Caenorhabditis elegans: one gene and its partner. The protein of the gene in region 1 interacts with the protein of each later gene in a pairwise test. Each region holds a gene or a part of one and is shown in the gene's direction. Other genes may lie near its edges. The genes, in order: nfi-1 and cbp-1.

Region 1 (6,701 bases):
ATCTTACATCAGAAAACATTTTTGTAATCAATTTTATCTGTTTGTTGAATAACTTTTTTTTGCATTAAAAAAAAATCACAAATTTTAATGAGCAGATCCAATTCAAAAAATTGTGACGTATGGCTTGTAGTTATAGAATTTCGTTTAGGATGAGACATTCGATGGGACTGAAAGTGAAATTTCAAATATTGGTGGCACCTCACCAGCATACCCTGTAGCCTATAGAAATAGGCCACCAAAACCAAAGAGAATGGCAATTCTAGAAGAAGCACAAGTTGAAGAGTATACACCGGAACCTTCTCCTGCTCCAAGAAGAACAGTTAAGAATCCAGTTCATCAATCAGATGCAAGTCTTGCATCCAAGTTTAATTCATTGTCAAGATTTGAAGAATCTGCTTTTTGATTCTAGTTATTTTTATGTTATTAGACATGGTGTCAGAATGTCCCATGTGAAGATCTACGAGAACGGCAGGAATTTAGGCGCAGCCTTTTCAACTAATTTCTCATAGTTAAGAACGTGCTGACGTCACATTTTTTAGGAAAAATCCCGCATTTTCTGTAGATCAAAGCGTAACGGGGGATCCTGACACCACGTGTTATTATTAAACTCTAATACTTGTTTGATTTGAACTGTTGAACTGACGACTTGAGCATTGTATTTAGCATGCTATAGAACTGATGTCACATGATTTTTGTTTTTTATGGAACGAGGGAGCAAACAAATGAATAAAATAAATTTCGAGGTTATCTTTTTCTGTATGTTGCAAAATGTTTTTTTACAAAACGAAATTTCTGTTTTTTCACATGTTCGCAAGAAACTTTCAGCTATTTCGAACGTTAAACTGATGTGCGATTTTTATCGATTTTTAATAGTTTTTCTCACGATTTGCTAAAAATTTTATAACAATGAAACAACATTTCTTTAAGCACAAGCCTTGAGAAAAACTATGAAAAACCGATAAATATTCCGCAACAACGGAGGTTTGAGACTACAGTACTCTTTTTTAAAGACGCGCACCATTTTGCAATAGTTAACAATATCGTTGCGAGACCTGCCGTTTTATTTAATCGATACTTTCTTCTTTGTTTTTTTGTTTATGAGTTTTCTCTTTTTCTGAACAGATCGCTTGAGATTTTTCGTTAAATTTTTTATTTGTTGATAATTAATAAATAAATTTCAAAAATTCGATAATCTTCATTTTAATTTTTAAGAATTAATTGTCATCTGTCAGTTAATCAAGATTTCGCGCGGAAAATTCCGTTTGAAATATGGCCGCTGGACTAGTATTTGTACGACCCTCTGCGCATTTTTGCTCTATAGTTAATTTACCGTAGTTTGATTCGCAGCGCATCCCAGACCACCTGTATTTTTAATATTGGCTATGAAAGAGCAAAATATGAGCAGATGAATGTGCAGAAAAATTTATAAAGTTTCCAAAAATATATTTGAATCAGAAGAAGTGTTTCTATAAGCTCAATAAAATTGATTAAACGAGAATTCATTTAATTCAAATTGTTGCCAGTGTTTATTATTATTTCGACAGAAAACTAATCTCGAAAAATATTTTACTTCTTCAATCATTTATTTTCTCATGATATTTTGCGCTCGGTGCCGCTTTTTTCTTCTTTAACGCTTGTCAATTTGTGATATCGATTTTTAAGTGTTTCAGAATGCAGATTATCTGAGCACAAGCCAGGACACCGATCGCAGCAGCATTGCGATTTTTTTCCAGCTCTGGGAGATTTTTTGAATAAAATGGAGCCGCATCTCAAGGTAATTTATTTGTTGTAAAACATTTTGCAGCAGGTTCGCTGCAAATAATTACCTCGCACACACATGCCGGTCTTCATATCGATTAATTTGACGAGTATTCGCTCGACGGGCGGTGTGATTCTATTCATTCAAAATCTTTTCGCTTGTTTCCTTATCTGCGCCTCTTTAAATTTGTGGAGTATTTTTGCTGTTGCTATGAACCAACTATCATCAAAAGGCTATCTCTTCCTATATGCAGTATTATATATGAAAATATAAACTCTTTTTGTAGATACTTTTGATTTTAAATTATACGAATGGAATCTCAGGTAAAAAAGAAAACTTGATTATTAATTTGAAATTTCAAAAAAAAAACTCGTATAAGTATATCAAACAAAGAAATAAACTCAAAATACTTTTCAGATCGATGTCAGCTCCGCCAGCGGTTCGACGACCACTGGTGCAACAGCTTCAACATCAGAAGCACCTCAAGACTCACAGGCACAGCAGACAATGCCTCCACCATCTTCTGATTGGAGTAATCAATTCAATTCTCCAGAAGCCGTGAGTCCGAAAGCCAATGGTATCAAATGCTTCAGTCCTTACTCACAGGAAGATATGGGACCATTTGTCGAACAACTTCTACCTTTTGTCAGAGCAAGTGCCTATAATTGGTTTCATCTGCAGGTAGGAATTATTGAATATAATTTTTAATTTTTCAATTTCATTCCCCTGTTTTCAGGCAGCAAAACGACGGCACTTCAAAGAATTTGATAAGAAGATGTGTGCGAGTGAAGAAAACGCGAAATTAGCAGAATTACAAGTAAAATACGAATAAATATGAACAAAAATCATAAAGAAAATTGTTTGCATTTCAGAATGATAGAGATGAATTAAAAGTGAAATGGGCTTCCAGACTTTTGGGAAAAATAAAAAAAGATATTCAAAATGACGATAAAGAAGCGTTTATTTCGGCTGTAAGTATTTCAATATTTATAATTGATTTAATATAAGGCGAAACCAATTTTTTAGATCAATGGAAGTGAGCCGAACAAGTGTATTATATCAGTTGCTGATCAGAAAGGGAAAATGCGGCGAATTGATTGCTTACGCCAAGCTGACAAAGTTTGGAGGCTTGATCTGGTTACTATTATTTTATTTAAAGTGAGTTTTTAAAAATCCTATTGCCTAATACTTCAAATAAATTTAATATTTTTCAGGGAATTCCTCTCGAGAGCACCGACGGCGAGCGTCTCGAACGATCCGAGGCATGTGTCCACCCTCTGTGCATAAATCCTTTTCATATGGCGATTAGTGTTCGCGGTCTTGACGTTTTTATGGCAAACTATCTGAAAGACGTTGACACTAAAATTACATTGACCTATCCGAGAAATGATGAACTTTCTGATACAGTGATGGTAAAGCAAGAGCCCGGTGAACAGACAATTGTAGCTCCTCATGCAGTTCTTGGCACAAGTTCTACTCATACTCGTGTCTGGGAAACGAATTCCGAACGAAATGCGGAAACAATCATTATCACTTATGATCCACAGAAAGCTTGCCATACTTATTTTGGTAAGATTAAATTATTCTAAAACTCTCTATAAGCAATGAATAAATTGAAAGCTATTGAGAATTCACCATGACATTCTGTCAGCGAAAAAATCCAATTTTATTCAAAATAAAAATATATCCATTTTGCGACGCAGATAAATCGTTTTGATTAATTTATAAATATGTTAAATTGTCAAGGGCTTTAAAATTTTGTGAAACTGTTCAAACGCGATTTTTGTGCCAAAATTTCAAACTCTCGTTGCTTAGAAATTCCCTCTCCCTCTATTTTTCATAGATTTATATTCAATTTCAATCGAAATTCCCCAGAAACAAGAGTTTGAAATTACAGTACTCCTTGAGCACACCTTTTTGCATATTATTGGCTCGAAATTGCAAATTTCCAATAAGAATTCCAAACTTTAAAATAAATTTTCAGGTGGTCGTGCTACTCTTGCCCAACAGTCTCTTTCTGCGGGAAACACGTATATGGTTAACAAAACCGCAGTCGACAACAACTTTTTCAATGCAAAAAGATCTGTTCTATGTCTACCACCTCCTCCGATTCAAAATTGTTTTCCTTATCCCATCGCGGGAACATCTGATTCTCAACAAATGGATATGTCGGAGGATTCCAACGATGGACCTTCAGAGAAACGAAGTCGGGATATATCATCGCATGATTCTCCTAATTCCAGGTAGAACTTGAAAAAATAATTAATATAAATATTTACACAGTTATTTCAGCACTAACGACGAAGTTCGGCGGATAGTGGAAAGTGGAACGGAAAAATTGGTACTCGGAAGCTCCATATGGGCAGCACCAGGCCAATTCTCTCGTACACAACAAAATCAAGGAGCTCCCGGAACGAGTCGGCAAGTGAGACCGCTTCCCGATTTTCAAAGTCAAGATTCTGCGAGGAGTCCGGGTGCATTCCGTTCAACAGCAAAACCCGTTTGTCGAATGACAGTGAATACTGGAAATCATGGCGATGTTGGAGTCGTTGTTGTTGATGAAAGAAATCGGGAGCATGTGATTCATGGTAAGCACGATAATTTTAATGAATAAAATCATATTAATTCAGCTCAACATATAGTGAATGCATTGAGCTCACTTCGAACGACACCATCGATGCGAGAAAGTCCAGTTGGCAGAAAAAGAATGCATCCGCATACGAGCAATTCATTTGAATTTTTGAATTGCAATCAGGAAATGAATAAAAGTTAGTTGTTTTTGTATACGTGACCCTCATTCTCGCGAAAATTACTAATATTTTTCAAACACGAAACTTTTTTATATTAAAAAGCTAAAAAAATATGGTACCCGGTCTATGGAAAATCTACGAAACAAACGTTCGAAATTACAGTACACTTTAAAGGCGCAAACATTTGTGTATTCCATAAATATTTGTCGTGATGAGACCTGGTATCGTAGTTTTGGAAGAATATATGTTTAGTAAAAGTTGAATTTATTTTTTTTGTTTCAGATGAAGGAGCTTTAGGAAGCGATATTTCACCGACTCACACTGCTGTTTCTAATCTAATCAGCAGAGAAAGTAGTGGATACATGGCAAGCCCAACAAAATTCACAACAGCACGCGGAGATACAACAAGCTTCAGGTTTGGCATCGTATCCCGATCATCGTTAAACAATTTTTTCTTTTCAGCAAAATTTTCCAAAAGATCGAAGAGAAACATCTGCAACATAATCAACCGAGCACGAGCTACTGTAATTCACAAATCCAACCACCAATCTTATCATCGAAACCAGTTGATTCATCAGTGAAATTAATTGCTCCAGTTGCAGTGAAACCAATTATGTCAGGATGTAATTCAATCATTCCATCACCCATCACAACTCCTCGTATAACTCCTTCATTTCGAATGCTTGAAGATGATTCATTGATTAATGTACTTGGACAACTTGCACACAGTAATGACGGAACAACTTTAAGTATGATTTTATGAACATTGAACTATCATCCCATTGCTTTTTTTTACAGACGATAGCTTCATTCAACATCTTATTGATACCAATTCTCGATCTCCATTGCTTAGTAGTGGAAATGCTTTTTCGGCATTATCAATGGGAGCTGTGAGTGGATTAGTTCCTGGTAATTCGATTCATCGTCCGGATAGTTCTGCAAGCAAGTAAGTTGAACCATATTGTTTTTTTTCTGAAAATAATGTATCAAAATAAAATGTAATTTTAAAAAAATCTTTCCAGAAATATATACTTTTTTTTAAATTGGCCAAAAGCTTGAAAATTTTATTAATTTCAAATTTCAATCTAAAATCAATGTCTTGTCTAACCAAAAAAAGTTTCTTCAGCGGATCGAATTCGTTGGGTGTAGCAATGGGATTGGCCGTTCCTCAAAATATTGCACTGGCCGTCCAGCAAACTCAAAATGCAATGTCACCTCTTCATCAAGTAAGTTGATATTTTATAAACATTTATAATCAGCAGCTTTTATAATTATTCTGAAAAACACCTTACGAAAATAATTAATCGAAAGATGTAAGCTTTTAATTGTGTAATTCATCGCCAGATTCGTGTTAGCGTTGGAGCTCCACCAGCATGCTCCCCGTCATCATCAAATTCATCTCTAGGAGCTGCAAATCAAGCACCGGTCTCAAATACTCCACAAGATCCGAATGCTCCAAAGCTGCCAACTGACTTTTCACATGCTCTTCGTAATGAGAAAAAATGATTTTGATATTCCTGTTAATCTTTTTATTCGTTTTATTTATCCCTTTCGTGTTACCAATTGAAAAATTAGAGTTATCAAACCTAGTCCTTCTTTAGTATTATTCAAACTAGTTGTTATTTTTATTATTTTCATTTTTCTTCAATCTTCAAAACATTTTCTCCGTCTGTGACGTCATAATCTATTTTTCCGAACCTCTTTTGAAAACCAAAATCCACAAAAAAATCAATTGTTTACGGGGCCACACATTTTCCCTTTTCTTTTCTTCACCGTCACCTCTTTATCTTGTAAATCTGAAAAACTTTGAAAAAACGTCGTAGCTATGCACAATTGTAATCACCACTTCCAGTTTCCCAGTGTTTTCCTTTTATGTTTTTTTTGCGTATTTGAACCTCATGTTTGCATTTCTTGTGTGGGTAGTTCAGATTATTTAATTTTTAAAACGTATTTTAATGAATCTTGAATTTTTATCAAGTCGTGAAGCACAACATAGATTCAAAAGAAATTGGAATATCATATCATCAATAAAGAAAAATGATATAGTTAGTTAGTAGCTGAAGAAAAGAAAATAGGTTTATCGGGTGAAACTTGTTTATCAGTCTCCTTCCTGGAAACAAACGAAGATGATAACAACAGCTTACCAGTTAATCAAGTGACATACTTATCCAATTAGATGAATGATAGAGACT
Region 2 (4,868 bases), on another chromosome or scaffold:
TCTTGAGGACAGCAGCACGGCGTCGTCGTCCGGAATCTCAGTCTTCATCGTCGTCAACTTCAGAAGTCTATTGGGATGACTGAGAACTACTGCCAGTCTACCACCCTCCGCCACCCTGTCGCTCCGCCTCTCTTGGTGATATCGACAGTCGGACGAGGAGGGCTATTGCCCCGCCTCTCGCACTTTTTGAACTGCCGCTCTTCCGTCCTCCTCAGTTTTTTTGCTTCTCCGGTGGTATTTGATAATTTCCTTTTAGAACATTACACTTTCGATTATTCTCTATCTATTCAAGCCACTGCCGGCTCATGAGAGTTCAATGCGAGCTCACAAACTGAACCATTAAGTGCTCAATCGTGGTTATCGATTTTTCAGAGCTTCAAGTCTGGCTCTTACTCTGGCATTACACGAAGTGATAATATACAGTATTCAACTACTAAATACTATTGCTCTACGATTTTCTATGTATTTTGCTCCTAGTAGCTCAAATTCATTATTAAATTTAACTTTTATCTTTGCAACCTCATCATTCATCTATCTGTTTCGCTCTCGTTCTCTCATCTTTCAAACTTTGTTAATAATGTTATTTTCTTCAATATCACACCAAAAATTATAATCAAAACTTTCATCTCGATCCATTAGATGCTTGTAAACGGAGCCTGTCCAAATGGCATATTCCTTCGTGTGCGTGCGTGTCGCGTGCGGTTAATGTTCTACCGTATCTCGCGAAACGCGGTTTTCGTTGCGAGACACCCACAGCATGGGGCACCCGCTGTCGGCGTTCTCTCCCGATACACACTACTTCGTGGGTGGCTGACTCGTGCTGTCTGTCGTCTCTCCCACTGACCATGTTATTTTGACGAACGGTGTTCTGCGCTTCTTCACGATCATGAACTTTTGAACGTGTCACGTGGAAAATGTTTTGCAACTTTTTAAGTCAAAATACAGTTCAGAATCGGGTCAGTAGTACCATGTGAATCGACGGGATCATCTGAGAAAGAGAAGTTAGCCTCATAAGGTTGGCTTAGCAAATATCGATCGAGCTAGATATACCTGTAAGTATCTAGAGCATTCATGTTTTTAATGGTCCCAAACACCTTTAATGCTTAAAAATACCCGAATTTCACAATATAGATGCCCGCCTTCTTCATTATGCATAGTATTTTTTAAAAATATCTCTCAAGACTGCATAACAACTTTTTTTTGTTAATCCGTATATTACTATAGTGTTTCTAATTAAAATTTGTTTTCGAAGTTTTGCAAAATTGGCTATGAATCCAATTTTAAGCTCTAAATTTATGATAGCTACAGTAACCCATTCATTGGAATTTGATGTTATTAATTCAATTTTAGCATTTAAACGCTCCTTCTCTATTATTACACGCTTAAACAACTTATACAATGGTGCAGGTAAACTTTAAAAAGTGCAACCATCCTCCGTTCATTCTATTGATTTTCCATCTCCTTCTCTCTCACTGTCTGTCTCTCTTCAATTCGCCTCCTCTTTTCATAAGTGCTCTCGCTCTCTAACCACCCTCCACTCATTACTTCACCGATGTTCTTCTCACTCTTCCTCCTCCCTCCTCCGTTCACCGACAAAAATCCATATATCCATTTCATTTTTTTCAGAAACAAACAGCTATATCTGGTGATTTTGCCAAACTAACCCAAATAAGCGGGAACTCTGATGAAGTAGTGGTTGACGTGGGAATTCAAAAACCGACGGACGCAACCAATTCAGGTGTTCCGAGAAGTAGAAAGAGTTCACTTGGTTCGAATTTTGTCAAATATATACATTTTTCTACTAATTGATGGATGAACCACCATCAAAAAAATCTCGCGCTGATAGCGGTAAGTTGCTAGGAAAGTTAAGATGCTACGGTATGATCCTTTAAACTTTTCAGACTATGATTCTGGGTTAGATGCGCTAAGTGCTCTCGAAAGTCTCGAAGCATTCCCAACTTCTAGTAAAGATACAGATGTAAGTTTTTTTGTTTGAATTAACACTCTGTTTTATAAAAATTGTTGTTCAGGTAGACAATAATCCAAGCACATCAGCTGGAGGATCCGGTGGTCCTTCTGGCTCGACACCTCATCCACAAGGCACTCCACAACCAGCACCATCAAACAATGGCGGGTTCAATCTACAACCAGGACAGTCGCAACCTCAGCAGCCGCCACAGAATATGGGAGGAGGTGTCAATGGATCAGTGCTTCAAGAACTTCTAATGAATCCATCACAAACGTCGAACAATTCACCTCGGCCGCAGGCATATCCGCCTGGACAGCAAAATGCATTTAATAGGAGTCCAATGATGCCAAATGGTACACCGAATATGATGTCACCTCCATCTATGGGTCGAGTGCCGGGGCCCAGTCCTGGAGGTCCACAACCACCAGGCCCAGGCCAACCACAAATGCGACCAGGCCAACCAGGAATGTTCCAAGGAGATCAGCAACAGCAAATGATGATGGGTGCACAAGGACAACAATTCCCAGGAATGATGCATCGATATCCGTACGCACAAGGTGGTCCTCCACCAGGAGCCCAGGGAATGCCTCAAGGATATCCAGGAGTTAGTCGGGGCGGACCAACTCCTGGACAACCCATGGGACGTGGTGCTATGATGAATGGAGCAATGCCAAGAAGTGGACCAATGCCGACACAAGGAAGACCTGGAATACCTCCAAACCAACAAGCAATGATGCAGCCAATGATGACTGATCGGCAGTTTATGCAACACGGACAATATGGTCAGCAGCGACCAGAATTTATGCAACAATATGGTCGTCCCGGTGGATATCCAATGATGCATCAAGGGGTAAGTAGAAACTATTTCCTGATTTCTATTTCATTTTGGTTTGATCTTTAAAAAATGCGGGAATTTTTTTTGTTTTTAACCTAGAAAATTGGTAAGATCAGCATGATCTTAACTGTGCGATTCTGACAATTTTTGAAGATCAAACAAAAATGGAACACTTATTAGCTTGACGTGAATTTGGCCAAATCAAAATCGATGTGTAATTGAAACTTAAGTTTCCAATAATTCCCTAATCTTCCACAAATATTGGTTGGAAGTTGCTTGGAATCATAACAATAATCTTCTACATTTCAGATGATGATGGACAGTAATGGTCAACCGATTCGAGGCCCGAATCAAATGATGATGATGAGCAATGGGCATCCAGGAATGTCACACGGTCCTCCAAATGGTCAACCTGGACCACAAGCTGCTGCAGCACAACACGCTGCTCAACAGCAAGCTGCTGCACAAGCTCAAGCTCAGGCGGCTGCACAACAACAACAGCAGCAACAACGAGAGCAAGAAGCTGCGGCGGCAGCTCAACGAAATGGTGCTGGAAGGGCGACAACTCCTGGATCAAGCATGCTTGCAACGCATCAAGATCCCGAGAAGCGGAAGCTTATTCAGCAACAACTTGTTCTATTACTTCATGCACACAAATGTTCTCAACGTGAGAAGGTATGTTATACAGTATGTTCTGGTTTCCTTCATACATCATCAGCTTTTACAGGAAAATCGTGATTTCGCTGCGAAGAATCAACCACCTCCACATGCTGCCTGTACATTACCCCATTGCTCAACGATGAAAGAAGTATTGACACACATGACAAGCTGCAATGTTGGTCGTTTATGTCATTGTAAGTATATTACCCGTCGTGTCGCTTCTTTTTCTCTATCTGGAAAGAGTTTCGAACATTTTCGCAAGAAGAAGCGCCTATTCCCACCCAAAATTTCGCTTCACTCTAGCCACTGTTTGAAATCTCTTTCAGCCGATACCACACAAACTACAAAAAAATGTTCAGTCGCTCATTGTGCATCGTCTCGCCAAATAATAGCTCACTGGAAAAACTGCTCAAGGGAAGATTGTCCTGTCTGCAAACCACTCAAAAGGATACAAGATACTCCATTACAATTTTCATGTACGTTCTATCCTACTCAAGAACATTTTTTAAATATTTGATTATTTTCAGTGCCCGATCTTGCAAATCTAATAGGAGTCAACGGGAATTCGAACGGAAGCGCAGAAGGTGATGGACTTCATCAGTTTGGATCGCCAGCGATGCGAACTGGAAATATTACAAATTCTCTATTCGAAGGATTCAATGGCAATCCATTCCAAAACGGACCAAATCGTGGAGGACCGAGACCACCTGGTGGAAATGGAGAAATTCCAAACTTGCCACCACCAGATATGCCAGATTGTACGAAAGAATGGCATCATCAAGTCACAAAAGATCTCAGAAATCACCTTGTCGGAAAATTGGTTAAAGCGATTTTCCCGGAACCGAATCAGGAAGCGATGAATGATAATCGGTTAAAAGATTTGATAGCCTATGCCAGAAAAGTCGAAAAAGAGATGTTTGAATCTGCAAATGACAGAGAAGAGTATTATCATTTGTTGGCTGAGAAAATTTACAAGATACAAAAAGAGCTTCAAGAGAAAAAGAATTCAAGACTCAATCAAGGAGCTGCTGCACATGATCGTAAGTTTTTTTTTTTTAAAATTTCACCCTTTAACCAATTTTCATTTCAGAATACGCAATTCCACCGTCGAACGAGCTCGCTCAGATGCTTGGTGTGGAAGGTGGACGTAGTGATGTTCATTCTGAAGGAAGTAGTATGGCAGTTGCACCAAGTCAACAAAATCAACCATGGGGAGGTGCTCCGAATTCCAACATGCATCAGCAGATTCCTCCGAATGGACAAGTTCCACAGGTCAATAATTCTTCGACATTCCCGTCAAGTGGTAACAGCACTCCAAACATCGGAGCTTCATCTACTGTCAGTGCTATGCTGCAACCGAAAACTGAACCCATGGACGATCAGAATACAGATTCGTTAAGTTCA

Evidence for each region.
Region 2: the proteins of nfi-1 (region 1) and cbp-1 interact in a two-hybrid assay, tested with the Caenorhabditis elegans proteins (one large-scale study listed by BioGRID).

Annotation. Positions count from the first base shown.
Region 1 is NC_003280.10:7,536,524-7,543,224, forward strand, and holds nfi-1 (Nuclear factor I family protein), read left to right. Parts: upstream 1-1,756; coding exon 1,757-1,774; intron 1,775-2,176; coding exon 2,177-2,440; intron 2,441-2,495; coding exon 2,496-2,576; intron 2,577-2,631; coding exon 2,632-2,730; intron 2,731-2,785; coding exon 2,786-2,917; intron 2,918-2,973; coding exon 2,974-3,328; intron 3,329-3,493; exon of another isoform or gene 3,494-3,514; intron 3,515-3,743; coding exon 3,744-4,002; intron 4,003-4,051; coding exon 4,052-4,347; intron 4,348-4,389; coding exon 4,390-4,527; intron 4,528-4,791; coding exon 4,792-4,924; intron 4,925-4,971; coding exon 4,972-5,258; intron 5,259-5,307; coding exon 5,308-5,455; intron 5,456-5,635; coding exon 5,636-5,735; intron 5,736-5,853; coding exon 5,854-6,015; downstream 6,016-6,701. Other genes in the region: ZK1290.13 (MARVEL domain-containing protein), read left to right, coding at 149-403. UniProt on the Caenorhabditis elegans protein: Probable transcription factor which recognizes and binds the palindromic sequence 5'-TTGGCANNNTGCCAA-3' present in promoters. Plays a role in locomotion, pharyngeal pumping, egg-laying, and life span.
Region 2 is NC_003281.10:9,764,890-9,769,757, forward strand, and holds the start of cbp-1 (Protein cbp-1), read left to right. Parts: upstream 1-1,620; 5' UTR 1,621-1,808; coding exon 1,809-1,848; intron 1,849-1,901; coding exon 1,902-1,978; intron 1,979-2,030; coding exon 2,031-2,819; intron 2,820-3,113; coding exon 3,114-3,479; intron 3,480-3,531; coding exon 3,532-3,658; intron 3,659-3,790; coding exon 3,791-3,940; intron 3,941-3,991; coding exon 3,992-4,504; intron 4,505-4,554; coding exon 4,555-4,868. UniProt on the Caenorhabditis elegans protein: Acetyltransferase enzyme. Acetylates histones, giving a specific tag for transcriptional activation. May prevent DNA damage-induced apoptosis by inhibiting cep-1-dependent transcription activation of the programmed cell death activator egl-1.